4 linked regions of the Rhinolophus ferrumequinum genome follow. The main gene of each other region encodes a partner of the protein of the gene in region 3 in a complex. Links are inferred from orthologs where the notes say so. Each region holds a gene or a part of one and is shown on either strand. Other genes may lie near its edges.

Evidence for each region.
Region 1: UBTF (region 3) and TAF1C share a complex: the UniProt entries of both Homo sapiens proteins name them as parts of the pol I pre-initiation complex. The link is inferred for Rhinolophus ferrumequinum from reciprocal best matches to the Homo sapiens genes UBTF and TAF1C.
Region 2: UBTF (region 3) and RRN3 share a complex: the UniProt entries of both Homo sapiens proteins name them as parts of the pol I pre-initiation complex. The link is inferred for Rhinolophus ferrumequinum from reciprocal best matches to the Homo sapiens genes UBTF and RRN3.
Region 4: UBTF (region 3) and POLR2H share a complex: the UniProt entries of both Homo sapiens proteins name them as parts of the pol I pre-initiation complex. The link is inferred for Rhinolophus ferrumequinum from reciprocal best matches to the Homo sapiens genes UBTF and POLR2H.

Annotation. Positions count from the first base shown.
Region 1 is NC_046298.1:29,691,661-29,699,743, forward strand, and holds the start of TAF1C (TATA box-binding protein-associated factor RNA polymerase I subunit C), read right to left. Parts: upstream 3,146-8,083; 5' UTR 2,981-3,145; coding exon 2,859-2,980; intron 458-2,858; coding exon 319-457; intron 91-318; coding exon 9-90; intron 1-8. Other genes in the region: ADAD2 (adenosine deaminase domain-containing protein 2), read left to right, coding at 7,794-8,083. UniProt on the Homo sapiens protein: Component of the transcription factor SL1/TIF-IB complex, which is involved in the assembly of the PIC (pre-initiation complex) during RNA polymerase I-dependent transcription.
Region 2 is NW_022680357.1:13,155,248-13,163,147, reverse strand, and holds the start of RRN3 (RNA polymerase I-specific transcription initiation factor RRN3), read right to left. Parts: upstream 3,278-7,900; 5' UTR 3,207-3,277; coding exon 3,118-3,206; intron 2,054-3,117; coding exon 1,948-2,053; intron 1,133-1,947; coding exon 1,076-1,132; intron 1-1,075. UniProt on the Homo sapiens protein: Required for efficient transcription initiation by RNA polymerase I (Pol I). Required for the formation of the competent pre-initiation complex (PIC).
Region 3 is NC_046304.1:39,309,747-39,317,094, forward strand, and holds the start of UBTF (nucleolar transcription factor 1), read right to left. Parts: upstream 3,402-7,348; 5' UTR 2,503-3,401; intron 2,225-2,502; exon of another isoform or gene 2,042-2,224; intron 954-2,041; exon of another isoform or gene 732-953; intron 623-731; exon of another isoform or gene 252-622; intron 1-251. UniProt on the Homo sapiens protein: Recognizes the ribosomal RNA gene promoter and activates transcription mediated by RNA polymerase I (Pol I) through cooperative interactions with the transcription factor SL1/TIF-IB complex.
Region 4 is NC_046285.1:60,795,154-60,802,408, forward strand, and holds the start of POLR2H (DNA-directed RNA polymerases I, II, and III subunit RPABC3), read right to left. Parts: upstream 3,342-7,255; 5' UTR 3,139-3,341; coding exon of another isoform or gene 3,117-3,138; intron 2,314-3,116; exon of another isoform or gene 1,732-2,313; 5' UTR 1,629-1,731; coding exon 1,556-1,628; exon of another isoform or gene 1,547-1,555; intron 624-1,546; coding exon 540-623; intron 457-539; coding exon 363-456; intron 1-362. UniProt on the Homo sapiens protein: DNA-dependent RNA polymerase catalyzes the transcription of DNA into RNA using the four ribonucleoside triphosphates as substrates.

The sequences.
Region 1 (8,083 bases), on a different chromosome or scaffold from region 3:
ACCCTTACCAGGACCAGGTGGCAGCACAGGAAGGGGCCCAGGGGTGTCTGGCTCCCAGAACAGGCCCTTGGCCAAGGGCAGCACCCTATTCTGTGGAAAACACAACCATGACAACAATGCTTCTGGGACAGGTGTCGTCGCCAGCACTTGTCTTTTATTAACTCATTCAACCCTCACAAGGAGCCTGCCGAGTTGATACAACAGTCATCGTCACTTTACTGATGAAGAAATGCAGACACAGGGAAGCTGTCACTTGCCCGAGGTGACACCCAGTAAAGAGAAGGCCAAGTGAAGGCTCTCTCTCCCTGCCATCCTTACCTCGGAGTTCTGGGGCAGGGACTCTGGCAAGGTCAGTGCATCTCTCCAGCTGCACATGAAGGACGTGTCAGGGACATCGCTCAGACCAAGTGGGCCGGTCATAAACAACGTGGGGCGGAGGGAGCTGGGGAAATCCATCCTAGAAAATAAGAACCACACGTCACACTGGCATTCTCAAAGGCCTGAATCTGACCAATAGCCTCCAGAGTGAAAAGTGCCCTCAGAGGAGTATACTTCTTTGAAGGAGCAGATAATGAAGAACAAATGAGTATGTAGCCAACTGCCAGAGACTAGGAAGTACTGTATTAAAACCAACCAACCAACCATGAGGGAGGGGATGGCGATAGGCCAAGGGTGTGCTTTTAGCCATGGAAGCCAGGGAAAGACTTGTTGAGAAGGTGGCTTTTGGCATGGCCTGAACCTACCGAGGAAGAGAACCACAGACAACAGGGAAGAGGGTTTCTGGCAGAATGAACAGCAAGTACAAGAGTCCTAGGGCAGGAAGTGTTTGGGAAACAAGTAGGAGGCCATCCAATGAACAAGAAGAGTGGCCAGTGGCAAAGGATGAAGACAGGTGGCAAGGGGTCAGCTTCCATCATAGCTCTTAGGTATTATAATCACGTATTTGTAAGCTACGCGCCCTACACTCCAGGCTACACTCCCAGGAGTAACTCAAGTTCCCCCAAGCCAGGCACTGAGTCTTATTTGTCTGTCTTAACCACTGTCAAGTATAGTATCTTCCAGAAAACACATTATGTGTTGAATAAAAATAAGTTCAGTGAAAGGGCTTTGCTACATACAAAGTGCTCTAGAAGTACAAGTAGCCACATCATCCCTCTTTTTCTTTTTTACTAACAGCACAAATCACAGCAGCGCTCACTCACTGAGTGTAAACATCTGCCAAACACAGGACGACATGTGTTAGCCTTCTAGTCTCCCTATTTTGGAGTTTAGGAAATTGTGGCTCAGGAAGGAGCCACTTGCCCAAGGCCAGCAGCTTCCCCCATCCAATTCACAGTCCAACTTCTGCACCGCCACTGTCCTGTGCATCCCAAAGCAAACACGAGCATTCGGGTCTTCGTATGCACAAATCTTTTCCCGTGGAACCGCTGCTGCATTTTATCAGCTGATTCTGTAAGCTCCGTACATCCACGTATCCTCAGGACCACGCCAAGTGTCCATCACACAGTAACTACTTGTCAAACTTGTCCAGCAAGTCAGCCTCATCCCAGCGGTATAGTCTTATCTCTTCCGCTAGACTGCAAGCCCTCTGAGGGCAGGGTCTGTATCTCATGCATTCCTGGGTTATTGGTGCCTGGCTGCTGCTGTCATTCCCTTTAACGTGACCAGAGAGAACAGTGGAAGGAATCAAGAAGATGCTCAGTGAGTCCTTGTGAAAAACACTGGCTGCCATAGGAGGGACTGTACCGACGGCAGTGAAAAAGCTCCCTCTCAGAGGCGGCTGCGTCCCTGATACATCAGTGTGAGCATGTCTCTGGGTTGTCTCTGGTTCCTGGGCTCCAATCACACTGACCTCCTCTAGGTTCTTCCTCACCAGGCTTTTCACCACAGGGTCTCTGCACACTGTCGCTCTGCTTGAAGCGATTGCCAGGGTCCTTCCGGTCTACCGACAAAATCCTACTCAACATCCTACTTGACAAAATCATCCTTCAGATTTCCAGTCAGGAAGTTCTCCCAGTTCCCTCAACGCCATCCTCCCACGATACTCTGCATGCTTTCTCCAGAGCACGCACTGCAACGTGTAATTACATAATTAAAGATGTCACTGTTTGATTAAAAAGCGGGAGAGGGATTTTATCCCCAGGGCCTTGGTGTTTGCTACACGGTAACAATCAGCACCAGTAAGCTGAAAGAACAAATCCAGGGATGAATGAACAACAGGGTAGTCAGGGGTTCACATAGCCGGAGCCTGTACCTGGGGAGAACAACCTTGAGCCCCATCCCCTGGCCAATAAGCAACAATGAGCAAACAGAGCCATAATCACAGGAGAGATAAGCAGGCTCAGGAAAAGCGTCTAAAGTTGTACATGCACATTAGTGAAAAGAGCTGTCCTATAGTTAACTTTTCTTCATTCGAATACGAAAAAGCACTCTGCTAGGCAGAGTCTTAAGATGCTAGCATGAAGTAGCACGTAGGTACACTGCACAGGTGCATGTAGGACCCACTTCAACATACTTTGGGGAGGGAGACGAGAAAGAGGAAGCAGTGGCCTCCAGCCCCAAGAGTCTATGAAAACCGCTGTGACTGTAAACTCCGTGAGCTCTATGCTCTTCTCTATTGGAGTGTGCTCCCGTGGTGCATCAAACTCTCGCTTTAATAAACCTTTCTCTCTGCAAAATTTTCGCCCACTGTCTTGATTTCTATTCCGAGAAGGGCAAGGACCCGTTACAAGTTACCGGGCGCCGGTAACCTGAGAATCCAACAGCCTCAAACAAACCCAGGCAGCCCGAGGGTGTTGGTGGAGCCCGCGACCTCAGGAAAGCCTCTAGAAAAGGCAACCTCAACTTCCCAGCCTCACCTGAGGCTCTCCAGGCCTCCTCGGACCTCCAAGGCCGCGTTACTGCCACGCGGGACTCGCAGGAAGTGGGCCTGTAGCAGGAGATGGGTGAAGGGATCCGGACGGTCCCTCCCCTCATGCATCTACTTGGCCACGTCCTCCCTACTCATCTCTTCCAACTCCCACCTCCAGGCCCTAGAATTTCAACAGCAAAGGACTCTCATCAAACGCTGTACACCAGACAGCTTGGGGAGCGTGGACTCGCGCGGAGAGCAGACCCGAGCTTTCTTCTCGGCCCCGGCACCCCTCTTCCTGCCGTCCAGCAGGGCGCGCGCACTTACGTGGCCCGGGCCTCGCGGAGCTCGTCTGAGACATGGACCTCCACGTGACGCTCGCCTGACCCTCGTGACACGAGGGAGCCCAAAGCAACACCCTAGCTCCAGCAAACACCGATGAATCAACCTCACAACGGTAATTAACGGTCTTCCGGACCTAGCCGGAAGTGCTCCCTCGAAGCAGGAAGTCCCGCCTCCCAGCCTGGCCTTACGGGCGCCCCAGAGCGCCACCTTCCGGGAGGAGGGGGAATGGGAGTGGAAGTGGTGCTGTGGGCAGTAGAAATAAAACCTCAAGTCCCGATAGTGAAGGCCACGTTGAGGAGAGTTCGAATTCCACCTCTGTTTAATTAACGTCCTATTTTGCAGGATTGTTTTAAGTATTAAATGTATTCCCTCAGCAAACACTTTCTGGGCACCCACGATGAGGCACTGTATTAGTCAGTAGGAATCCTAATGATTCCTTATATCCTATGTCCTTATATCCTATGAAGTAGGCTTTACATATAGGTGTACAGATAACTCTGGGGATGCATGAGTTTTCCCCAATGGTCAGGCAAGTATAGCTTTAGGCATTGATTCTCAAATTATGGCGTGCATCAACATCACCTGGAGGACATGTTAGAACATAGTTCCTGATTCAGGGAGGCTGGGGTAGGACCTCATAATTTGAGTTCCTAAGTTCCCAGATGATGATTCTGCTTGCTTAGGGGCCAAGTTTAATATAAGACCCAGTATTATATTGTATTATATTATACCCAGTATTATATTATAATTATACCTGGCCTTATATTATATAAGACCCGGTCTTATTTTACTATAAATAAGTATTTATTTTACTATAAATTTTACTTATTTTACTATATTTTACTTATTTTACTATAATTTTTGCTCCAAAAGACGCATTAGAGCTGATTGTCCAGCTAGGTCTTATTTTCGGGGAAGCACGGTAGTAGCTCTCAAACTTGATCATGTATCAGAATCTCCTGGAGGTCTTGTTAAAACAGCTTGTTGGGCCCCACCCCAGAGTTTCCAGTTTTGTAGATCTGGGATGGATCCAAGAATTTGCATTTTTAATGAGTTCCCAGGTGATGCTCACGCTTCTGGTCCAGGCACCACACTTTGAGAACCATTTAAAGAATCAATTTCCAGAATCTTGGCTTACATCTATAGTATATTAATAGTTTTTATCTGGGAGATGTTTGGAATCAGATGATTCCCTTTTTGCATCTCCCCTTTCACGATTACTTTTTTCCCCACTTTGTAGTACTGCCCAAGATGGGCACTGAACAAGGAGGGCGATTCCAAAAAGTTGCTTTCCTGCAAGAGAGTCCCTGTGAGACTAAGAAAAGCAGGTTCAGTAAGAAGTAATGATGGACGGGTGCAGGAAGGAGAATTTTGGGGGCTGACAATATTTTGTTTGTTCATCTGAATACTGGTTACATGGATATGTTCAGTGTGTGAAAATTCATCAAAAGATTTATGCACTTTTCTGTACATACTATGTTATACTTCACTAAAGAGTCTTTTAAAAACAGAAGAAAAGAAGAAAATATTGCTGGCCGTGATGCTATCTCATTGAGATGTTAACTTCTTGGTTAGGCTAAGGGCTTTCCCAGCTACCTATCTCAGAAATAGAATTTAGAAGTCACTCTAGGAGGGTGGGAATTCTTCTGTCTGTGCTGGTCACCAGTGTATCCCAAACAACTAGAAGAGTAGATGCTTGATAAATATTTGAATCAATGAAATGAGATGGTTCTTCTGAGAAAATATCAACACATTTATTTAAGTTGAATAAACAAAGTCAGACTGTTTCTAACAAAGAGTAAGTCTGATTTAGGTGAGTGGTTTGACTATGAGAGTAGGCTTTGCCAGTTAGATCATTTGGAGAGCGTTTTTCATAAATGAAATAGGCTCAGTCTGCATCTCTATGGTTTTGATAAAATATACTGGAAGGATTATTATAATAAATAATAAGTTAAAAATTGCTCCTTTTGTAATTATTTAAACTTGTGACTAAAATATTTGGGATAGTTTTTAAAAACTATTTTATGGGTATGCATGCAAAAAAATTGAAGACTATATTAGTTTCCTTTTGCTGCTGTAACTAATTACCACAAATTGAGTGGCTTAAAACAACCCAATATCATACAGTTCTGGAGGTCAGAAGCCTGAAATGGGTCTCACTAGGCTAAAATCAAGGTGTTAGCAGGGCTGTGTTCCTTTCTGAAGGCTCTAAGGGAGAACCAGGTTTTTTTGTTTGTTTGTTTGTTTGTCTGTTTGCCTTTTCCAGCTTCTGATAGTTGCCTGAATTCCTTGGTTCATGGCCCCCTTCCGTCTATAAAGCCAGCAATGGCCAGTTGAGGCTTTCTGGTGATGCCATTTCTGATTTTGACTCTCTGTCTCCGTCTTCCCTATTAAACGATGCTTGTGATTACACGGACCTACCCAGATAATCCAGGATAATTGCCCTATCTTAAATTCAGCTGATTAGAAACCTTAATTCCATCTGCAACCTTAATTCCCCTTTGCCATATGACGCAACATATTAATAGACCGTGGGGATCAGGACCTGGACATCTTTGAGAAACTATTCTTTCACTTTCCACTCTTACGAGCCACCCATCCAGCTTCTGCACTGGGAGGTCAATTCCATTTCTTCCTTCTTTCCTTTCTCTAAACAAGCTGTTATGTTTCCTTTTGTTACTGCGTATTACTTAACATGCAGTAAAGTGCACAAGTCTTAAGTATACAACTCATTGAGTTTTTACATACATGTAAACTTAAGACAACCACTACCTAGCTTAAGACAGAGAATATTTCCATCTCTCCAGAAAATTCCTTGGTGCCACTTTCCAGTCAATATCCCCTTCAAGAAGTAACCACGATTCTGACTCTTACCACCATAAATTAATTTTGCCGGTTCAAGAACTTTACATAAATAAGATCATGCAGAAGGTACTCCTTTGAGTCTGGCTTCTTTCATTTGTCAACTGAAAAATAATATGACTAGGTGTCTCATCACCAAAAAAAGATTTGGGAAAAAGAAGGGTTGTAACCCAGGGCATGTGAGTATGGCAAGCCATGTGCACACTCTGGCCTGCATGCCAAGATGGAGGAGTATTTAGAGACGGGAAAAGGAAGTTAATGGAAGGGGAAGTTAGAACTATGGAGCTTTACCATAAACATAGACTTCTTCCTGTAGGGTTCTGATGTGTGGGATTCTTGCAATTACATAGAGTGCAAGAACTTCCAGAAGCCCTAGCTCCTCCCATAGCTCCTCTTCACTGATTATGTTGGCTTAAAGTTCCACTTCGTCTTTTATCACATTTAACATGCCCATGAGATTTACCCATGTTGTGCAGTAGTTTCTTTTTTTTATTTTTTTTCATTACTGAGTAATAGTCCATTGTATGACTATATCACCATGTGTTCATGCAATTTCCTGTTGGTGACCTTTCTGGGTTTCGCAACTCTGTTCAAGTCTCTTTGTGGATATGGGTCGCCATCATTCCCTTTCTGAACACTGCTGTGCTGGGCCTAATTCTGCTCTTTGAACTATACCCCAAAACCAGAATGGTTCTTCCTGCTGCCAATCCTTGAAATGTTTGGGAGGTTGAATCTACTCTTCCTCCCACATCTACTCTTTCCAAGTTAAACAGTCCTGGTTCCACCACCTGCTCCGTATATGCCCCAGATCACACACAGCAGCAATCCTGGTCAGCGTTGTCAGACCCAAAGGTAGCATCTCCAGCAACACTGGGACACGTCTTAGAGACTGTGAACTGAGTAACTGGTCGGGTTTTCCCCAGCACCGGCTCCTATAAGACTCGGTTAAATTTGTGGCCCCCTTCATGCTATTGTGTTCTGCATCATAGCAGGCCATATGAAAATTGCCTTTATCCCTAATTTCATCTTAATTTTGTTATTTCTCCTTCATTCCTACTCCCTCATCTTAAAGAATGGCTGTCTTGTGGTATTTTTATGACCAACTCAAAATCCCTTCTGAAGAACAAAAGGACAGGGTGCCAAATATTTAATTTTGGCTAAGGAACACTTCCAGTTGGCTTCAGGAAGGCGTACAGTTTACAGTTTTTAAATGTAAATCCTGACTATGCCGTGGGATTGTTTCAATTGAGAACACTTTTATTTATTGGATGAGAATCCCCAAGCTCAGCTAAGTGGCTAGGGGCGGGCTGCTGTGATGGCTGTGGCTTGGGGCATCCTTGTGCGGAAGCCATATAAGATGCGGGACTTGGGTCCCCAGACATCTTCCCTAGTCTTCGCTTCCCCAGGACCACCTAAGGGCGAAGAGGCTGCTAGGAGAGGCCCCACGCCTCTCCAATCACCACACCCGAAGCTCTGCACCTGAAGTGGGATGTCCACTCTATCCACATCCAAGCTTCAGCTGTCCAGGAGACTGGCCTTCCCATTGGTTGAGAGCACTGTCTGCCACACCTCTGCGGGCTCTCATTGCCAGCAGCGAAGAGGGGGCGGAGCTTGCAACGTGCTGTAGGATGCACCGCGTGATCCCCACGCGGAAGCCAGCTGGCGCGTGTAAAACGGCGCGGGCGGCGCAAGATTAAGATCGGCCCACTGTCCCCTCAGGTCCTCACGTCCAGCCATGGCTTCAGCGGCCCCAGGCGCCGAAGAAAGTGGCCGCAGGAGACACCGTCTGGCCGCTTCATTGCAGATCAGCCCCCGGCCCAGGCCCTGGCGTCCTTCTGCCAGCCTGGACCAAGACCCTTCGGAGCCAGCCCCTGCCCCCAGCTCGGTGGACAATGAGGGGGGTGGGCAGCCCCTGGCTTCGGCGGCTGCGGGGGACAGTGGGCCCCGGGCGGGGGCTGGAGTCAGGGTACTGGGGGCAGCTCAAGCACAGGAAGACTTGGGAGAACAGACGGGGCAGTCCCCGAG
Region 2 (7,900 bases), on a different chromosome or scaffold from region 3:
CAATAGGCATGAAGTTTTCAGTAGGGCAATGACATGTTTATGAGAAACGACAGAAAGGCTCCAAGGTTATTAGCTCAAGAATCAGGTAAGCAATAAATCAGTTAAGCATATAAAGAAGGCTGCCGAAGGAGTAGGTTCAGGAGAGAAAATGCTAAGTTTGTAGCATGTACTAATAGAATGCTAAGTTTGTAGCAAACACTAATGCTACAAAGAATTAGTATGAGGCTTGAAAAAAAAAGCCCACTGAAATCAGCAGGAGAAATCACTAGTAATCTTCTCATAGTAATTACAGCAGTGGACTTAACCATGAATGGGAAACCAAAATCCGGACCGTGTCGGCAGGAACAACTAGCAAAAGCCCTTGCTTTGAGTGAGGGGCTGTTTAAGGGCTTCTCATATGTTAACTCACTGGACTCTCTTAAAACCTCTACTTAAAACTTCTATTGTTTTTCTGGTTTTACAAAGTGGAAACAGAGGCAGAGAGGTTACAAAACTTGACCAAGTTCACACACTGGGTAACAGTGGAGATGGGATTTTATCCCCCACAATCTGATTACAATCTGTATGGTAACAGACTTTCCAAAATGGGGCAATAAAGGAAGAAAAGGGAAACAAAGTATACTGAGTTGTTTTTACAAGACAGGTATATACTGTATCTTAAAGTCTGAAACAATGAAACAGTGACTTGAAAGACAAGTCATGTTTTGTTGTTTATCTGTTTTACTGTTTTAGCATTGGAGAAACATGAGAGTTGCCGGCTTTCCCAACTTTGAGGCTACTGACATTTTGGACTTGATAATTCATTGTTGTGGAGAATTTTATTTAAACAGCACCCTTGTCATCTACTCATTACACGCCAGTAACACACGTCCGTTCCTCCTGTTGTGACAACCAAAAATGTCTCCAGTTTATCACCAAATAAAAGGGGTCAGAACTGCCCCTGGTTGAGAACCACTAGGTTAAAGTAAGAATGGATCAGAGAGAGAGAGTAAGTTCTAAAGGATGGCATAGGATCAAACAAAAGTGCAAACTAACAGCTGTTAGTTTGGTAATGATCAAACACAAAATTAATTACCTTTATGTCTGGATCTGACAACTGGTTCTTCAATAACTCATAGTCATTTGTTTCACCCTTAACAAGAAAAGGGGAAAAATGAAGTTTTACTTGCTGTGGTTTCCGGTTAAAGATCAACAGCAGGACTTTTAACTATGCCTAACATCTGATAAAATTACAATAGGGACACTGTAACTTCCACACATCAATTGTGGATTGTAAAATCATCGACTACAAAATTTAAAAACCCATGTTAGTGGAGTTAGGGGACTTGGAAAAAAGCAAATGACAATTAAAAAGCATTTATATTTCAGTATACTTGTGCACTGACATTTGAATATGATTGTCGGTACTTCAAGATATTATCCACTCACATGTATGAATATAAATGCATATGACATAAAATAGTCACATGTCAATTATGACTCAATTTAAATACAATAAGTCATTCGCAGTTTTCCTCCATTACTGAGATTTACAAGAATCACTTCTAAGCTAACACAAACCCCCCCCCAAAAATCCATATTAATAGAGCTGGTTTATTGTCCCAAAGTTAATACTTAGCTAATTCCTTAAGAAATAAAATGCTGTGATCTAATGGTTCTTGAGTCTAGCATTTGCTGAAGTTTTTTAAAGATACCATATAAATGAAGCAGCTGAATAGGTGTAACTTCAGCAAAGAGGTTATTATTCTGAATTTGAGCTGACAGCATCATGCTGTTATTAAATATCTGATTTCAAGATGGGTATCTAAAAATTCATCTTATTATGTCAACTCATCTTTGGTATAAGACCTATAATTGTATTCTGACAAAAATGAACCTCAGTATGTCAATTATATCTCAATAAAGCTGGGGGGAAAACACCAAACCTCACATATTATCTACTCTTACCTTTTTGTACTTCAGCAAGACTTCTGTTACAGTTCCACCAAACCGAACAGTTTTTCTTGGGGGAGAGTTGAAGAAATCACTCTCTAATGTAAGCATATCTGAAATCCTGTACAACCAAGATTATCAAGCTATTAAATGTATGACAGAGGATGATAAAAATCGTAATAGTCAACATTTTTGAACCATTATCATTCAGTGGGACAACTCTAAAGCCTCTTAACTGGCCTCCCTGCTTCCACTCTTATCCCCCAACAATCCTCACAAACAAAAACCAAACCTCAATATATCAATTATCTCAATAAAGCTGGCGAGGATGGGCAGGGGGTTGGGGGGGGCAGGGGGGCAACACACCAAACCTCATGTGCTCCTTCTAGTAACGCCTCTCTCTCCTATTAGAACTCCACTCAGAGATCTAATGATCTTTCAGAAACTTAGAACAGATCATGCTGTTATTAAATATCTGCTCTCTTGATTAAACTCTCCAAGTTTCCTGCCTCACTTAGAACGTTGTGTCTTTAGATAAATTACTGTCTCCAGTGTCTAACACAATAGGTAGGCACTTAATAAATACTATGAAACATATTATGCTAAGTGTTTTACATAGTTTGCTTCTTTTAAATAGAGCAGATTAGGAGGAAAAAATGAATGCCATCCTACTAATGACTCAAAGTTAAGCCCCAGTGTTTTATGGGGGTTAGGGGCTTTAAAGTTGAACAAGCTAAAAAAAAAAAAAAAAAAAAAAAAAAAAAAGCGTGTCGGAGCAAATTTCAAACAAAAACAGTTAAGATTCAATTTGCCATCAGTGATAGCATTCGGCTGATAAATAATCCAAATAGCCCGGAGAATTCTTTCCCAATCTAGACGAAGAAGCGGGAGGGAAGAGTAAAGGAGCAGAATGCAGAACCCAGGCCTGGGACGCCATGAAGGACCCCAGTGGGGAGAAAAAGGGGACTCTGGAACACAGAACAGATTCATTTCTCCAGATCCTTTCTCACCTTTGGTATCCACTTAAGGGGCACGGGCTTACTCTTCAGAACCTGAGACGACCCTCTACCCTCTGCTCCCACCCCACTCCATTAGCGCTGTCCCAGGCTCTGTAAGATCCGCTTCTCTAATCCCGGTCCTGGCCTTTCGTCCCAGCCGCGCAGAAGAAGCGACTCGGAGTCTTACCCAGTTCTCGATGACCCCAACGTCTTGACCGCAGAGGCCGAAGCGGCCGCATCCCCGGGCAACCGCGTGTGAAGTACTGGGGCCGCCATTGGGCCTGATAAGTGCGACAACCTCACCTCGCGACCGGAAGTCGTTCTCGTCCTAGTACCGCCTCTGTCCCGGAAGCGGCCTTCAGCCAATCAGGAAGCCCACGTGTGGAGAGCGTAGGGAACTCGAAGGCTAGAGCGCCGCAAACGTTTTCTTCCCCCATCCCTATTTGGTCCCTTCTCCTATTTGGAGGACTGCCTCCACTGAGTGAGGTGTGGGGCCTAGAGCGGCCCAAGTCCGCCCTGGGAGAGGAGCGGTCCGTCGGGCTGGCTCTGTCCAATTCTGAGGATCCCAAAAAAAGGGCGGGACACCGGGAGGTGCTAAGCGGTAGCTGAGTTCCTCGAGTAGTTACTTTTTGGATTCAAAGGATCCCTCAATCAAACTGAACAAACTGAAGCTCTGTGATTAACCCAAACCCTCAGAGAGATGGGGCGGACTGGGGATTCGAACTAGGCTGCTCGACCCAGAATCTGGGGCTCTGTACCCACTGCACTATCTTCACAGACACCCAAGATTATCTTATCCTCACGGAAACAGACTTAGACAAGGGACTTACCTAAAAAACCTCAGAGCTGTGGTGCTGCTGGGATGAGAAATAAAATAGAGGAGGCAGTTTCCAAAGAGGCGTTAACCCTTGAACTTAAAATTAGGAGCCAGACCAACAAAGCAGGGAAGGGTGTTCCAGGCATAGGGAACAGCACGTGGCAAGGCATGGGTGCTGGGGAGGCAGAAGGAAAGAGGGACTGCCCCTCCCCTCAATTTCTAAGAGGGGAAAATGTTTCAACCTCTGTACAGAACTATCAAAAAATACATTATCCCAGCTATAACAACTTGTTAAATATAAAGCACTCTTCTGTTTTGCAATGGTATAAAATGGTATAAAATCAGTAACTGTCTTTCTCCTGTCTCCATATGGTTCCACTATTTCTTCCCTCACTGCTTGAGAGTTCCTGTGGAATGTTGGGTAACCATCATCATCATCATCCCAGGAGTAGAGGAAATTGCAGCCTAGATCACAAAGATGCTTCAAGACAGCAGTTTAAGGAGGCATCTCTTCCCCTCCACCCTCAGAGGAAAAAAAAAATTAAATCACAGTTCATTGACACTCTCATACACTGTCAATAGAAGTTTAACCTGTACTGCCAAGCAATTTGACAATTACTTTATTCTTTCATTTTTAAAGTCTGTCATGTATAAAAGAATGTTAATGTAAACTTAAAAACACAATAAAATGAAAACCTGTGATGTACCACCCAATGTATGAAATAACATTAACCTGTATTATTGAAGCTTCCTGTGTGCTCCCAAATCCCACCGTCTCCCTGCTTCTTCCCAAAAGTAATCACTACTCCGATTTAAAAAATAATTTAAACTTGTCTTTATGTAATTACCATATAGTCCTAAACAATATACTATTTACTTTTGCTTGGTTTTTAATTTGATAAAATTATTTCCATGCTATATTATACTAGTTTTCAATTAATAGTTTCTAGAATCCATCTGTCATATGTAGTTATATTTCATTTTCTCTGCCATATGACATTCCATTATATGACTATACCATGAATTATATCACCATTTTCCTATCACCAACATTTCAATTGTTTTCTTTCTCCCCTCTCCCATTATGTACATTGCTATGAATACTCTTGTACAATCTCCTGAACCATGTGTGCAAGAGTATTTTTAGGGTACAATTGTAGGCTTGGAGGGTATATAAGAAACAAAGAGCTTTCCAAAGTTGTGCCAATATACACTCCCAGCATTATGTTCTCCATAAGCTTGAACACAGGTCCTTCTTTATTTTCCCAAAGCATGGCTAAGACTCGGTTGCCACGTTTAAAAATTTTTTGAATGGAAGCTTAAGCTTCCAAGAAAAATCTTAAAACTAAATAGCATAATTCACTGTTGGAATTCTTTGGTCAGGTCCCTTCATTGGGGATCCTCTACTCAGTTACCCAGTTTTATGGGCAAACTCACCTTGACAGAATAAAAACCTCCTTTATTCTCTCTTGCCTTTCCCAGAGTCCCAACTCTTTCTGTCACAGGGTCAAATCAATGAAAATACAGAGCCCCTGCCAAAAACAAAAACAATAAAGCAAAGATGCCGCCTAGCCCACCATGCTGTCATCCTTTTGCCTCATGGTGCATTACAGTTGTTCGTGACTGTTCTGAGCTTCTTCATTCCAGAATGAATTTCTGCTTTACTTTCATATACCCAGAAGACCCATTAAACTGTTTTTTTTTTCCCAAAAGGGCAGTCTTCCCCCTAGAGATGAATTTTACAGTCACCCCTAGAGTAGTTGTGTTGGTTAAAGCTTCTTGGCTTGAAAGTAACAGAAACTATCCCAAGCTAGCTTAAGCATAAAAAGGAAAATCTGTTCTAAGGACATGAGGATAGCTTAAGGCACCAGAAAAAGAATTTCTCACTGGCCAAGTTTGGGGCAGGTGCCCTTCTCTAACCTAGAGAAGTGAGGTCATTGGACCAAATGGCTGCTAATGAATCTTTGCTGTGGATGAGAGGATCACTATAAATGTTCAACCAATGTTTTTCAAAAAGTTGAACGTAGGGAGGATCCAGATCAACAATTGCTAAATAAAAAATAGTAGATGTCCCATTTGTTCCTTTCCTCTTTCCAAAGAGTCAATGATTGTTTTATGAGCCAATTATTATAAAAACTTTATTCATTAATCAAAGATCTCAACAGTGAAGATGTGTTTGTGTATACATACATACGTGTGTGTATATATATATATATCCTATATATATGTGTGTGTGTGTATATATATGTATACACACACACACACATATATACACGTTTGTGTGTGTGTATCCTCTCTAAAGGCCATTAATTTAGTGCCTTCCTTATCCCAGTATTACAGAGAACTATAAAAGAGAGCTTCTCAACCTTGGTACTACTGATATTTTGGGCCAGATAATGCTTTATGAGGGGAGCAGGTTGTCCTGTGCATTGTATAATGTTTGGCAGTATCTCTGGATTCTATCCACCAGGTGACAGTAGCATAACCCCTCTCCCCATTGTGACAAGCAAAAATGTCTCCAGACATTACCAATGTCCCCTGAGCAGCAATATCGCCAAAATTAAGAACCACTGGTATAAAGCATAGCCTTAGTAAATTTTCAGTCCAACTGAAGACACAAAACATATTTGCAACAATTAGAGAACAAAAAAGTAAAACATAATATATGAAATTATATGGTGAACAGCCATAACATTTCCATTTTTATCTTTAATATTTTGGGGGGAACATAGGAAAAAATCACTTACTATTTTATTTTGTTGGAAAACAATGGTGGCAATATACAAGATCCTCATGCTGTTTAATGCTTATTTGGAATGTTTTTCAGATTTTTACCAGGAGGATGCTACAGAGAAAAGTACCTTAATTCTTCCCCACAGTTCCTCAGACGGCAAATGTATCTAACTTAGAAATCAGTTTTATTTGACTAATTGGTCTGGTAGGCACCACCTAACCTCAGCTTTATCTTTACCTACGGACTTTCAATCTAATAGTAGTTAACATCTACATTCATCTATTCAACAAATATCTACTGAACACCTTCGTCCCAGGCCCTGTGCTAGGCACTGGGTCAGCGAATAATAATAGTAAAGACCCTCGTCTTCATGCAGCTTACTATCTAATGAAAGAACAGGTATCGATTAAATGTAAATTTTACAAATCAAGTCCTTTGAAGGAGATCACATGGTGCTATGTGGTTCTATAACGGGCAGAATTTACCCCTTTAGGGAGCTCAGGGAGGTTCCCTTGAGAAAGTGACAATTGAGCAGAAACCTAAGGGTGAAGGGATCAGGAGGCTGTGAGAGGGGGACAGTGCTTTGAAGGCAGGGAGAAAAGTATGTGCAAGACCCCACAGCAAGAGTAGAGAAGGGATTATCTCTTAAGATTTCAGTTAACAGCCTAGGGTTGAGGTGACAGTTGCTTAGCGGAGGGTGGTGGTGGCTGAGATGAAAAGGATCCATTGAGAAAACAGCCAAAATGGGGTTCCTGAAATAAATGAACGACTGTTTGAGGACCCTTTAGTAATACTAATACTCATTCCTTCTCCCTCTTTACAGTCAAATTAGTCCTTTTGCAAAGCAGGACAAAACGATGCAGCAATCTAAGCTGAGTGGATGTTAAGTTTCAGAGGAAGTGATTTATAATGTAACAGCAAGTCCCCATGGTATAATCCAATTATGGTACTGGAAATGTTTCTCCATACTAAATCGTTCCACTAAAAATTTACTTCTGTAACAGAGGATAAACAAAGCCTTAGGACTGAATTAGTTATATGGTCCATTTCCCCACTGATTAAAATAGGACGGCAAACACATACGGTGGGATACAAAGCACATTAAGGAACAATGGCATGGTAGGAGGAGGATTAGACTCTTGAGCGATGTGCCTTGACCTAGCTCACAGCTAGGTCACCTTCTCAGCCCAACTCAGAAACAAGAACCAGAAAAATATTCTCGGACTGATCAAACCAGACTACTGCTGAAATGAGTTGAGTTCTTAATTACTGCCCATTTCTACTTTCCCAAAAGTACTACGTGACTTTGTTAATCATAACTAATGGCCCAATGCCATTTTGTGCCACAAAGTCAAGCAGTGGGAGATCTTAAGCTGATGGGGAATTCACATGGGATTTGTGGACTGTAGTATTGGAAGC
Region 3 (7,348 bases):
GGGCACGCGCCGCAGTCTCCTCCTCTCGCCTCCCCCCCGCTGGTTCCCCCCGCCTCCGCAACCCGGCGGGGACCCGGACGCAACGCAGCCGCCGCCGGCCCCGGAGCTCAGCGGCCGCACCGCCCCCGGGGACCGGATCCGGATTCCCGCCGCCCCCCCTCTCGGGCTCCCGACGCCGTCCCCGCCCGCTTGGGCGGACGAGCAGCCGGAGAGAAGCGGCCTAGGCTGCCCCCCGCCCCCGAGCCACTCACCCCGGCTAGAGGCGCCGCCGCAGCCCAGCCACCCCGACGCGCACGGAGGAACCCGGCGCAGAGGCGCGACCACGGCGGGAACCGCCGCCTCCTCCCTCGAGCTTGCGGCCCAGCCCCGCCGGCGCCCCCGCCCCGGCCTCCGGGGAGCCGAGCCAAGGAGAGGGCGGGAGGATGGCGGCCCGGAGGCGGGGGCGCAGCGCTCACCGGCCCCGATGCCCCCTCCGGCGGCCGTGGAGAACTACGCCTGCCGGCTCGGAGAAGCGCGGGCTTCTCCGCCCGCGGCCCGGGCTCCGCTCGGGCCTCGCTTCCTGCCCTCCCCTCCCCCGGCTCTCGGCGTCCTCTCCAGTGCCCTGGTTCTCCCTCGCCCAGTTCCCTGTCCGGGGGTCGACCCGGGCCCTTTCCGTGCGTCCACTGCAACCGCGGTTCGCTCCCTGCCTCCTGGCCCCGACCCCGGCGCGCGTCCCAAGCCGCCTGGGTTACCCGATGCAGCGCGGCCTCCGGGCTTCCCGCTCCGGCGGCTCCCTCCCCGGCTCTGAGCGGCGGCGCCCTCCCCCGCTCGGCCGGGCACAGCCGCAGCTCCCTCCCGCGGCGGCAGCGGCTCCTCCTCCGGGCGCGGCGGCGGCGCTGGGGCGGCGGCTGCTGCTGCTGCTGTGGCGGCGGCGGCTGTGGCTGCTGCCTGCTGCTCCTCGCGGCGAAAAGCACAAAGCACAGCGCCCTCCGCCTGCAGGCAGCCCGCCCGCCGCCCGCCCGCCGGCCCCGGCCTCAGCTCGCACACCCCCCGCCGCCGCCGCAGCCTCCGCCGCCGGAGCGGGGAGGAGGAGGAGGGAGAAGGGAGGAGGAGGAGCGGGAGGGGGGGCGGGAGAAGCGGGGCAGCGAGCGCGTCCTTCCCCGTGGAGCGCACACCGACCCCCGGGGAGCGAGCGCTAGCCCGCCCGCCTCGCCGGCTCCGCTCCCTCCCACAGCCTGCCCGGGCGGGCTCCGCGGGGGGCAGCTGGGAGGAGGGGCGGGAGCTGGGGGGACCCGGGCGGCCGAGGCGGAGGGAAGGAAGGAGGGGAGGGGGGTGGTGGTAGTGGTGGTGGTGGCGGTGGCGGCTGCTGCTGCCGCCGGGGAGGGGGGGGGCCGGGGCAGGGAGACACGCAGCCGCCCGGATGGCGGCGGGGTCGGAGCCGAGGCAGGCGGGCGGGCGCCGAGAGCGACCTCGCCAGACCCGCGGGGGAACTAGCAGGCTCGACCGGCGCGGAAGGGAGGGCGCAAGGCGCGGCCGCAGAGAGGGTGCCCGGAGGGCCTCCCGGCGGCCGGGGAGGCTCGGGGGGTGTCCACGGCCCTGCTCCGGAGCTCTCCCCCTAAGTCCTCCCAGTTCAGATGCGGGCTTCCACGCCAGCTTTCGCCCGCTCCCCTCTCCCGCCTCCCGGAACGGACGGTCCGCGTCCACCCTCATTCCCGGAGCACGGCCACCGGTTTGGGGCGCACGCACGCGGATCGCGCGGCGCAAGGCTTCGGCGCCTACCTCGCGGTCCCCTTGATACCGAGCAGCACACACAGGAAACTTAAAAAAAAAAAAATTTACCCCCACAAAATGCCCTGCCTGCAAATTAAAAAAAAAAAAATCCCTTTGCTCCTTACACCTGGGAAAGGGCGAGGGGGTGACGGGCTCCGGCGGCGGAGCCTCGGGGCCGGTTCAATCCAGCCCGGCATGACTCCTCAGGCCTGCCTGGGCGCATGGAGATCGGCGCCGCCGCCACTCGCAGCAACCCTTCTCCCCCGAAATCGCGGCGCCGGGGCTCACTTACCCAGCGTGTGAATGGGAGCGCGGGCCAGGGGCACCTAGGGGTGCGGCGGGCCGAAAAGCCGAGCCGTAGCTCCGCCGCAGCTGACTCCGGGGCAGTGAGTCGCCAGACAAAGCCCGAGATGGCGAAGCGGAGCGACGGCTAATGGCGAGCCCCACGCGCCGCGCTCCGCCCGCCCCGCTCCGCCCGCCCGCCCGCCCGCCTCGGCGCAGCGCGGCGCCGCTCCGAGCGCTCGCCCGTCAGAGCCGCCTCGGCGCCGCCGCCTCCCCGGCCACCACGGCCTCTCCTGGCCCCTCCGCCTCCTCGGGGCGGCTCAGCCTCACCCTTTCCCTCCCACCGCGCTCGGGGATCCACGAAAATAAAGGAAAAGAAAAATGCTTTTTCTTTTCTTTCCTTTTTTTTTTTTGGTTGGCCGGGCGGGCGTGTTGAGACTTTTGGGTCTTTTGCCCCCAGCTCGCACTCACCTGCGGAGCCGCCGGGAGGGCTGGGGGTGGGGGCTCGCGGGGCTGGAGCCGGCGAGCGCGGGTTGAAAGCTAGCCAAGCTCTGCAGCGCCCGACCCGGGCGTGTACGCCGCCGCCAGTCCCCGCAGAGAAATCGTCCTCCTACCCCCGCCTCCATCGCTCTGCGTTTCTCTTCCAATCAGCCGGTCGCTTGGCGGCTCCTCCATTCTCCGGCCAAGCCCGCTGCCTAGAGCGAGCTCCACTCCATCTGCTCGCCTGGCTCCTCGCTCCCCTGCCGGGGCCGGCGAGGCGACGTGGGGCCGGAGGGGGATTTGCGAGGGAACCTGCCTGATTCCCGCTCCCATTGCTCCCTCCCCGCCGCCTCCTGCTTCTCTCCTGCGTCTTTCCAACTCTCCCTTGTCGCCACTGGTGTGTGTCTGTGTGCGCATTTTTTTTTTTTATTGCTCTTTGCTTTTGCAACCCTGAAGCCAAAGCGGAGGGGGGGAGAGCAATGGGAGGGGGGGTATTACAAAAAAAAAGAAAGCTCTTAGGTTTGCAACACATTGAAAAACTGGGGGAGCACCCGGCCTGGTCCGATCTCGGTGCCCCGCGAGGGCCTTCCGGGTTTTAGAGCGAGTCTTTCGTCGTTCTCAATGCCCCTCACCTCCGCCGGCTTTAGGATCCGAGGAGTCCGAGCAAAAAGTTCTCCCCCTGGGCCGTAGCAAGGGGTGTCAGGGTGGGAGTTGGGATTTCTCTAGAAGCGGCAGCCATCCCTCGCACCCCGGCTTCGGTAGCTGGGCCGGGGTGGGGGTGGAAAGCAAAATCCCGGTGGGTTTTCGAACGGGGCTTCCCCGGCAAAGTCGGAGCCTGGAGACCGCGCTGCGTGCATCTCCCTCTCGGTCTCTGCCTCCTGTCCCCTGCCAGCTCCCCCTTTAATTTTTTTTTTCCCCCTCTCCTTTAATCTAATTTCTTCCAACTCCACCTTTGTTGTTAACCGGCGTCACGCCAGGATCAGCCAATCCCCGCCACGCAATCAGCTTGTCAAAAAGCCTTGGCCAGCCCTGGGAAAGCAGGCCGCGGGCGCTGTCCCCCCGCCCCCGCTCCCCGCTCCCCGCTCCCGCCAGCGGCAGGGAGCCGCGAGGGGAACCTGGCACCCGGGCCTCTCTGCCCAGAATCGCAGCGGGGCTGCCTCCGCCTAGGCCTCCCGCGGTCCAGCATCCTGCGGCCCGGGAATTGAAAGGTCTGGGCGGGGACCACGATCCACTCTCCCACTCCCGTCGGCTGTGGTTGTCTCTTTCTGTCTTCCCTCCTCAGAGGAAGGTTTATCGGGACGCAGGGAGCCAGAAGACTGTCTGAAAAATGCTTCCAACAGGCATGCCTACTGGCTGGGCCACCGCTCCCAGGGCAGCGCCATTGCTCGTGTTCCCCGGCCGCCAGTCAACCTCACCAACACTGCTCCTGACCATATCTCGGCCAGCTGGTTCACCAGCCCCTTTGGACTCCCCTGGCAAACAGCCTTCTCCATCCTCACACAACGAAGGGCCTCACTGCTGCTGTAATTCCTTCTGTCTCCTGGGAGACATGAAATTCCTTTCCCAGGACTTCCACAGCCCACATCTGCCACGTTTCACAAACAGGGAGGAAAACCCTGTCAAGATCTGGTGTGTCCCGATTATTTAGTGGGCAGGGCCTGTAGGAGAGGCCGATTTACCGTAATGCTAATGGAGCTGAAGCTTTAGGGCTCCTCATTTGCAGGGCTCATCCAAGGCCCTGTACTTAATTTTGACTCATCACTCGGTACTTTTGTTAGAGACCCCCTTGCCCCGCCCGCCCGCTTTTTTTTTTTTTTTTTTTCACAAGTTTCAGCCCCAGAAACCCAGCTGTGCCCTTGGAACATACACAGGGTATTTTGTGTGGGATCAAGCCATCTCACAAAGATTGACTTTCTTGTTTTGACTGGGAAATAGCAAAAGATTTGGAGTCAGAAGTCCCAGCTTCCCAACATCTCAGCTTCCCCACCTTGTTAATAGTGTTGTGAATCTGATCAAATCTGTTAACCTCACTTGATCCCAGTTTCCTTATCTATAAAATTAGAATAGCAATCCTACATTCTCTGCTTTCCTCACCAGGGTTGGACAATCAAGCAAGATGATATATGTAAAACTGTAAAATTCTCAACAATGTCACTTGCCACAATTACAGTAAGAGAAACTTAGACCCCAAGAAAGTTCCAAGTCCTCCACATGCAGGTCTGGAGTCCAGGTATCCTGGCTCCTGGCCCTGAACTTCTTGGCCAGGACACAGCCTTTCGGTAAAGTGCTTTGGAATAAAACAGGATGAACGTAAATCATAAGAATGATTATTATTGATTTTTCATTCCTTGGGCATCAAAAATCATGGCTGGCACTCTTCCCACTTGGAAACTGATTGGCTTGTTTTACATCTATTGTGTCTCTGGTGAGGTCAAGAGCTTCGGACTTGGGCTCTGGGCCAGAGCATGAGGGAATCTGCCCTTGGTCCTTTTTCTTTGCCTCATCTCCCAATTCATCCTCCCCTCCCTTCCAGTTTTCTGCCCTGTGCCTTGGAGCAGAGCTTCAGCATTCCACAACCCCAGCCCAGGCTGGTGACAAGGCATAATCCTAGCTGCAAGCTTTCTCGGCCCCAGACCTTCCCTGAGTTGCCAGGATTCCAGCACCAGGTCATATAAAACCCCTAGTGTGCCTGGAATGCGTTAACCCAAGTGTGGTACTTTAAATCCTAGTGTCTGTGGAATAATTTTAGATGGTGTACAGATGAATATATTATTTTCAAAGTTATGTGTTTTAATGTATCTTGGAAATGTTTTTAAATTTTTATTTAAGATAGTGACATACAGACTTCTTCCGGTCTTTTTTTTTATGGGCAGAAGGGAAGCTACTATCCCTTATTTATTTATTTTTATTTTTTAAATTGAGGTAGAACTTACAGATAATAAAATATACACATCTTAAGTGATTGTATTGATTAATTTTTACATATGTATACATAGTATACATGTCATATATGTCTCTCTTTCTCTACACACACACACACACACACACACACACACACACACATCATGTAACCACCACCCAGATCAAGATGTTGACTATTTCTAGCATTTAGCAAGCCCACTCAAAGTCAATGTTCCCCTCCAAATGTCACCAGTATTCTGAGCTCTATTGCCATAAATAAGTTTAGCCTATTTTTGGAGTTCATGTACATGGATGGAATCATACAGTATGTACTCTTTTACATCTGACCTCTCGCTCAACATTGTGTTTGAGATTAATTTATGATGCATATAGTTTGTTCCTTTTCACTGCTATATAGTATTCCACTATATAAATATATCACAATTTATTCTTTTATATCTAATGGGTATTTGAGTTGTTTCCAGTTTTTTACTATTATGGATGAAGCTGCTTCAAACATTCTTGTGCATACTTTTTGGTGTATATATGCATTCATTCCTCCTGGGTATATTTCCAGGAATGGAATTCTTGGATTAGGATGTAAGTGCCTATATTAGACATTAATAGATATTGCCAGTGTTTTTGGATTTTGGCCATTAGAATAATTGTGTAGTGATATCTCATTGTTTTAATTTGCAAATATTTTTTACCAGTCTGTGGCTTGTCTTCTCATTCTCTTGATAGTATCTTTCACAAAGAAGAACTTTTTTATTTTAATGAAGTCCAGTTTATCAATTATATCTTTCATGCTCCTGGTGTTGTATCTAAAAAGTCATCGCCACACCCAAGGTCACCTTCTGTATTTCCCTTAAAATAAGACCTACCCTGAAAATAAGCCCCAGTTAAGATTGTCAGCCAAACGGACACATTTAGTATGTCATAACGATGTTCCAGAAGATGACGTGACTGTATTTGAATAAATGTAGATTGTTGTACATGAAAAAATAAGACATCCCCTGAAAATATGCCCTAATGTGTCTTTTGGAGCAAAAATTAATATAAGACCCAGTCTTATTTTCAGGGAAATATGGTATAAGACCCAGTCTTATTTTCGGGGAAACGTGTTAGGTTTTCTTCTATGTTATCTTCTAGGAGTTTTATAGTTTTGTGATTTACATTTAGGTCTGTGATCCATTTTGAGTTAGTTTTTGTGTGTGTGTGAAGGATATAAGATCTTTGTTTATTTTACTTTATTTTTTTGCACGAGCATGTCCAGTTGTTTCAGCACCATTTGTTGAAAAACAATTTTCTTTGCTCCATTGTATGGCGTTTGTTCCTTTGTCGAAGATCAGTTGACTGTATTAATGTGGGTCTATTTCTGGGCTCTCTATTACGTTCCATTGTTCTCTTTGTCCATTCTTTCGTCAATACCACACTATCTTGATTACTGTAGCTTTAACATATGTCTTGAAGTTGAGTAGTGTCAGTCCTCCAACTTTGTTCTTCTTCAATATTGTATTGGCTATTCTGGGTCTTTTGCCACTGCACATAAACTTTAGAATCAATTTATTGCTATCCATAAAACAACGTGATGGGACTTTTTTTTTTTTTTTAAGATTTTTTGGGGAAAGGGAACAGGACTTTACTGGGGAACTGTGCACTTCCAGGCCTTTTTTCCAAGGCAAGTTGTTGTCCTTTCAATCTTAGTTGTGGAGGGTGCCGTTCAGCTTCAAATTGTTGTCCTTTCAGTCTTAGTTGTGGAGAACGCAGCTTAGCCCCAGGTCCAGTTGCCATTTCTAGTTGCAGGGGGCACAGCCCACCATCCCTTGCGGGGGAGTCCAACTGGCAACCTTGTGGTTGAGAGCCCACTGGCCCATGTGGGAATCGAACCGGCAGTCTTCGGAGTTAGGAGCATGGAGCTCTAACAGCCTGAGTC
Region 4 (7,255 bases), on a different chromosome or scaffold from region 3:
GATGAGGAAACTGAGGCTGAAAGAGATTAAGGGTATTCAACAAATAAATGGTAGGACTCAGATTTGAACTCAGTGGGGCTCCAAATTCCCATCACACCAAACTCCCTCCCAAGATGCAAGGCCCACACAGTCTAGGTCACTCAGTGGTCATTTCCTCCACCATCAGAAAGCTACAACTCACAAACATGCAACCTCTGGATAAATACCTGGGTGTTTGAGTTCTTAAGGGCAGCAATTTCCTCAAGGTTCCTCAGATTCTGCTAATAATCATTTATTCCATGAATTAAATAAGGGTCTTTCTATACCACTTATCTACTTAATCCTCAGGCATATTTCAAATACTCCCTTCTCCACTCCCTCACCTGGAAGGTCTATCATCTGTGGGGTTGTATTCACCATCATCCAGCGTACCATCTTCATACAAGGTACTGGCTATGACCAATCGGAACTTGTCACCTGAAAATAATGGTAATATCTGAGGGTGAAGAACAGCTGAAATGACAAAAAGTCTTCTGCTATTGTCTGTGTTCAATACTTACCCAAGTCAACAGGGTAAATCTGAATGTTTACATCTAAGATAAGGTCCATCTTGAAAGATTCACTCTCACAATGCAGTCGAGACACTAGAGGGAAGCAGAGGAAGAGAGGCAGAGGTAATTGCCTGCAGACCCCACTTTGGGGGACCATATGCAACAGAACACTCAATCTAACACAGTGTGCTTCCACTGGCCTCTCATCTGCTCTCACAGAAGTTCAGGCTCAATTAGAACCAAACAGGCAATAAGGAGAGAAAACTATGACCAGTGGGCATAATCCCCAGAAATGAATCAAAGGTCCTCTGGCGATAAATAATATCCAGATTCTAAGCCTGCCTTGGTGATTAAGAAACAACCTGACTTTGGGAAAGTTATTCATTCATCCAAAGGTTTTGTCTTTCTGTGCCAGGTGCTGTGCAGAGGGGATTATCAGAAGTGTAAGAACTGGTGTTGTCTTGAAGTACATCTCAGTCTCTAGGCAAAGGAAGAGACACCAGAAACAATTATAGATCAATGACAGAATAAAGAGCTACTCTTTATTTTTCCAAGCAGTCAACTGTAAATCAGAGAGGACTTCACAAAGAGCTAAAGACTCTAAGGGCAATACAAGAATATAGGTTCCGGAGTCGGATAACTCGCTGTGCAGCTAGCTCTTAGAGCAAAAAGGGTGAGACGCCACCTACTCATGGAGGCTCTTGAAACGAATAAGTAAGACAAAATGTGTATAAGGTGCACCATACAGCGCCTAGCACAGAGTGGGTAGCGATTAGAAAGATGCCCAGGAGTTTACTAGCACCACGCGAAAAGGCCACGCAGGAAGAGGGCACAACATGTATGAACCCAGAGAGAGTTCGGAGTTTCACTTTTCTCATCTATAAAACGTTTTCTAAGAGAGGTCGTACATCAGGACCTGCCGTTAGGGGCAGACCACGTGAGTTAGGTGGACCAAAGGCACAGGGACGTGTCCCCAAGGACGAGGTTAGCCCCTAACCCCAAACTGCCCTACATACCTTACCTACCTCGGTCAAACTTCTTGCCCTCCGGGTCAATGTCTTTTACATCAAAAATATCCTCAAATAGGATGCCCGCCATGGTGAAAGGGCCACGAGAGCAGCACAAGGGCTTAGCGCGCGACCACGACTAAGAGTACGTGCACCCACTCGCGTGGAGGAAAGAAGAGGGGAAAACGCAGCGCCTGAAAAGCAGCAGTCAGAGAATACAACAACGCATGCGCACCGACAAGCAGTAAGACGGCCACTTCCGTCGCCTGGCTCTCGGGGCTTCCTAACTTCCGCCCCGAACAATTGCTTCAGTGTTGAGGGCGGGTCTCAAGTTCAAATAACTCCGCCCTAGGGCGGGATGACGGTAGGTCCCACCTCTGGCCGAGGTGGCGCGTTTTCTCACTCTCTGCTGAAGCTCTACTGCGCCCTCTTTAGAATCCCAGTAGGGAAGACTGGAATGCCTGGGGGCCTACGCCAGCCAGGGACCTTGATCCTTGGCCCAGAGGAGCCCGGCCCTAGCCCTACCCTGCCGGTCCGCGTGCCCGCCGAGGGCACAGTCCGCGCCAAGGGAGGGCGGAGCAGAACCCCGCCCCCAGAGCGCTGGCCCAGCAGGGCGCAGTACCCAACCCCTCCAGCTGGTACTAAGGCCCCCCAGGCCGGCCCGGGCCGGCTCTGCCCAGCTGGATGTCACCTGAGCTGAGTCCTTTCAAGTTTGGGAATTTGCCATGATGTCACTAAGGGGAAGAGGAAAGCCTGCACTGTCCCTTCCCCTGGAACCGCACCCTCCCCCACTGCTCTCTTCCCCCACGCCGCCCTCTCAGCCTTGTATTGACCCCAACACGCTACGCTCCTGAACACTGTACCTCCAGCTTGGTACCGCCCGTTCACCCACCAACGCCCTCTCCCTCTGGACACTGATCTATGTGCCTTTTCATCCTGGCACTGTCCTCTCCCACAGGTACTCTTCCCTTACATAGTCCCTTCCTCTAGAGAGCTGGCTCCTCTCACTGACCCCTTCGTGGGCAGTGCCCCCTCCTCCGGGGCACCACCTCTGCCTCCCACATGCCCCTTCATCCTGGTACTGCCTCCTGCCGCACACTGTCTGTTCTCAGACACTATCTCACACACACAGTCCATCCACCCTGTGCTCACCCCACCCTCTGCTCTATCCTTCTCTGGACCCTGATAGAGAACGCAGAGCCCCAACAGGCCGTTCCCCTCAGGCAGCGAGACGTCAGCAGCTACTCGGGTTTCTCCTTGGGCCCTGCCAGGGAGAAGCGACCTCTGTCCCCTCACGCCCGCCTCCCAGGAGCCGCCTCTCCGGCACCTAGACCTCCCTTTCCTCAGGCTCACTTTTTCCCTCCCTACCTCCAATCACCGGCCCCCTGGCCCCCCGCATCCCTCTGCAGGCCAGGTTGCTCCAGGTGCACCTCCCTGGGGCAGCCGCGGGGGGGGGGGGGGAAGGAGGGAGAGGATGAGAGAGACCGAGGGTCTCAGCTCCGAGCATTCCACACCCCCCTAGGGCCCCCCTCCACGGGCCTAGCGTTCCCCTCCGAGTCCCCGCAGCTTTGCTTCTCACCCCGGGCGGAGCAGCGGCGCATCAGAGCCGCTGGCCCCTCGGGAGAAGCAAGAGAGCCACTCTAGAGAGAAAACTGGGCCCGAAGAGAGTCTGATTTAGACGGCTCTGCCGTCCTCCGCCCCAAGCCGAGCCCCAGCGTCTCCAGCTCCTCCCGCCAGGGCCGCAGACACCGCCGGGCCCCTGCACGTGCCAGCGGAACCTCCGGGTCTTAGCCTCAGGCCTCCGCGAAGTGGGGGCGCCGGCTCCAGCATTCCTAGCGCCCCCTACCGCCTCTCCCGAGCCCGGGAGGCCGCCCCAACTCAGACCCCCACCAGGCTGGGCCGGTCCCTGTGTATGGGCTGGCGGGCGGAGCACCACGAAGGACACCGCCCTCTGCCCGCCCGCGGAGGAGGGGACGAGAGCGTGAGGCTCTCTGCACTTGGCCGCCCGGGCTGCGGGGACCGGACGGGTACGGGTGCGGGCTCTGCGGGCTGGGAGCCGAGTCCGGGCCGGAGCCCGAGCCGCAGTGGGAGGCCCGAGGGCTGTGCGCGGAGATGGCGGCCGCCCCGGCCGCCGCGGCAGAGGAAGGGATGGAGCCGCGGGCGCTGCAGTACGAGCAGACCCTGGTAAGTGAAGCCGAGCCGAGCTCTGAAGTGTACGCTCCAGAACTGCTGCTTCGGGTTACCCTTGGAAGCGCGAGGACCGGGGGCCTATCCAAACCTCACCCCAGCCTTCTGAGCTGGGGAAACTGAGGCTGAAGGGCTAAGGGGTGGAAAACTGCATGCAGGTTTCTGGCTGAGGCTGGGGACCTGCATAGGACAAGGACATCAGGTACTTGTTCCAGGTGTCCTTCCCTTTACCTCCCCCCCACGTTTTCTTTGCTCCTCCCCCTCGCCACCTGAGCCGTCTCAGCACCCCACTACTCCTCCCCAGCACTGCTCACACTGTTGAACTTTCTCTCTTTACGTTCTTATCTCCACCATCCATTACATGCCCTCTGTTTCCAGTAAGTGCATTTCACTGTGCTAGGCATCAGGAGTGTTTCTATATGCAGAAAGATGATCAGACCCAAATCTAGACCCAGGCCCTTCCTTTGCAGGCTGGCAACCCAGCATTGGCAGGAACCCCTCAGTCTATTCCCTGGAACAAAGGTGGCCTGCCACCCTAGGGGACAGGAGCTTTAGGGAGGATGGGTCAAGCAGGAATGGATGTGGGAATTGGGACCTTTGTCCACGCTCACTCTTGAGTAGCCAGCCCCCACCCACCCCAGGGGTGTGCCTTGACCTCCTTAGAAGCAGGGGTCCTGGGGCTCAGAGCTGACTCATGGCCACCACTGTAACTTAGTGTTTGAGAAGACTTTTGCCCCTTCTTGTAGTCACTGGAGTGGGGGACCCAAACTGTTGGGAAGGGAGTGGGCCCTGTGTCTCCTTTGTAACAGCTGGTCCTGGAATTTGCCCAGGAAGGAGTCTGGGAGGGAACCTCTCCAGGAGGAGGGGGCCTGGGCTGTAATTGAGGCTGGGAGTTGCCCAGTTAAGAGAGGGAGTGACTGGATGGAACAGGATGACAGGGAGAGGTGGCAGGGGTGGGGGTGGAGCAAGGGTAGAGGGGCAAGCCTTCACATGGGGGGGAGGTGTCTGTCCGTCTGCACAGGCTGAGAGTGGGGCATTGGTCACGGAAGCCAGGCACCTGGCTCTGAAATGGTGTCTATCTGTTGCACCAGCACATCTCCATCTCCTTCGCCTGGGTCTCTATCTCTGGAATGAGTTCCCAGGGTCAAGCTCTCGCCCGGGCACTCTCTGCTCCGGTCTCTCCCCCTTCTCCTCCCAATCCCTTTGTCTTTCTCTCACAGGCTCACCTCCCAGCTCCAACCAACAGTGTTTATCTGCCTCTTTATACTCCACTTTCTTTCTCTCCCTTCCTCCTCCCTTCTTCCTCTTTCTTCCCTGCACCTTCCCCTGGCCTCTCTTTCCTCCTTTTCTCCTCCCTGATTCCCTCTCTTCCCTTTCCTTGCTCGCTCTCTCTCTCTCTCTCTCTCTCTCTCTCTCTCTGTCCCTATCTTTCCCTCCCTCCCCACCCCCTGTCCCAACAGGAGCCCTTGTGTCCTGAAGCTCTGCGGGTGGCAGCCGGAATCTACTCCCCACCCCCCAACACACACCCAGCTTGGCTGGTCTAGCCTTGGCTCAGAGACGCTCCCACCCCATCACCCCAGCATCCGCAGTCACAGCCTGGCCACAGCTTCTTCTGTCCCCCTCACCCACCACTGGACTCAGGGCAGCTCCAGAGTGGACTGAGGCCACCAAGTACTGTCCACCTACCCAGAGAGACTTTCTACTCCTAGCTGGGCTGGCAAAGTGGTGGGGGGTGGGGGTGGAGAATGGGAACAAGGGGATTAGGGTAGGTGGGAGGGGTGCAGCTGAGTGGGTCACAGGCCAGAGGCCTGGCAGGAACGTGATAAGGATTGGGGCCCCGCCTGCTCCTAGGCCCAACTCAGCTGCCCCCAGCTCCTTAAGGCCCTTATTGTTACCCATATGCCCTTGACCATCCCTTATTCTCTGACATTCCCTCCTCCCACTTTCAGACTGTGTTAGGTTTTTCCATCTTTCCTCCTCTGGGGCCTTCCCTCCCACTCCTCCTCAGTGAGAAGAGGACTGATTATTTTGCCACCCCCTAGAGCTGTGTTCCTGTACCTTGGCTGTCCCATCACTCAGGCCAGGACAGCCCCCACAGTCTGCAATGTGCATTGTTCCCACACCCCAAGCCAAAGTGGGGAGTGTGGGTTCAAGAGGTGGTATATAATGTGGGGACTGGGAGAAGGGGAGCTGAGGCTCCAGGGGCCCTCCCTGCATCCCCCTCAGCCCACACATGTCTGCTAACCCCCATCTTTCCCATTGCTCAGATGTATGGCCGGTATACCCAGGACCTCGGGGCCTTTGCCAAAGAGGAAGCTGCTCGGATCCGCCTAGGAGGGCCTGAGCCCTGGAGGGGTCCACTGTCCCCGCGGGTTCCCCCAGAGCTCCTGGAATATGGACAGAGCCGTTGTGCCCGGTGCCGCAGTGAGACCTGGGTTGGGGCAGGGGATCTGGCTGTACTGTGCTGAGGGGGATGGAGGCCATTCTAGCTGGGGGGACAGGGGTAGGAGCACTTTGGTGACAGCCCACCATTCTTCCCTTCCTGCTCCCAGTCTGTTCCGTACGCTGTCATAAGTTCCTAGTGTCCAGAGTTGGTGAAGACTGGATCTTCCTGGTCCTGCTGGGGCTCCTCATGGCACTGGTCAGCTGGGCCATGGATTATGCCATCGCTGCCTGTCTGCAGGGTGAGGACAAGGGCTGGCAGCAGGAGGGCTGGGAAGCACCATTCTGCTTCCTCTGTGCCACACTTGTCCAAGTATTTGGCTCCTTGGCCAGCTTGAATGCCCATCTTCAGACATAATCACTGCCACTTCCATAAGCCACAACTTCTTGCCTCCGCTCTCCAACTGACCCTCTTACCTACAATGATCTCTGTCCCAGTGAAGGCTCTCTAGGGCCGCCTCCCTGCTCCGCGTACCGAGGTTCTGTATGATATTCCCTGGACAGTGCATCATATCAGTATGTCCCAGTGGCCAGGCGGGCACTGGGTATGCACACCAGGGGTCTGGCAACATGTCCTCTCCCCACAGCTCAGCAGTGGATGTCCCGGGGCTTGAACACCAGCCTCTTCCTCCAGTACCTGGCCTGGGTCACCTATCCTGTCGTCCTCATCACATTCTCAGCGGGATTCACACAGATCCTGGCTCCTCAGGCTGTTGGTACAGTAGGAGAGGAGGGGAGGGCAGAGGTGGAACCCCCTGAAATGGGCACATCAAATAACTCTCCTGGGACTGTACCCACTCCAGGGTCCGGCATCCCTGAGATGAAGACCATCTTGCGGGGTGTGGTGCTAAAGGAATACCTCACCCTCAAGACCTTTGTAGCAAAGGTCATTGGGCTGACCTGTGCTCTGGGCAGCGGGATGCCCCTTGGCAAAGAGGTAACTGCAGGTTGGGGAATGAAAGAGGCCCTCCTGGTGGAGGAAGAAGCCAGGGCAGGGTCGGGCTGTGCCCCTTCCCCACTCACTGCCTGCCCCCACCTCCCAGGGCCCTTTTGTGCATATAGCAAGCATGTGTGCTGCCCTGCTCAGCA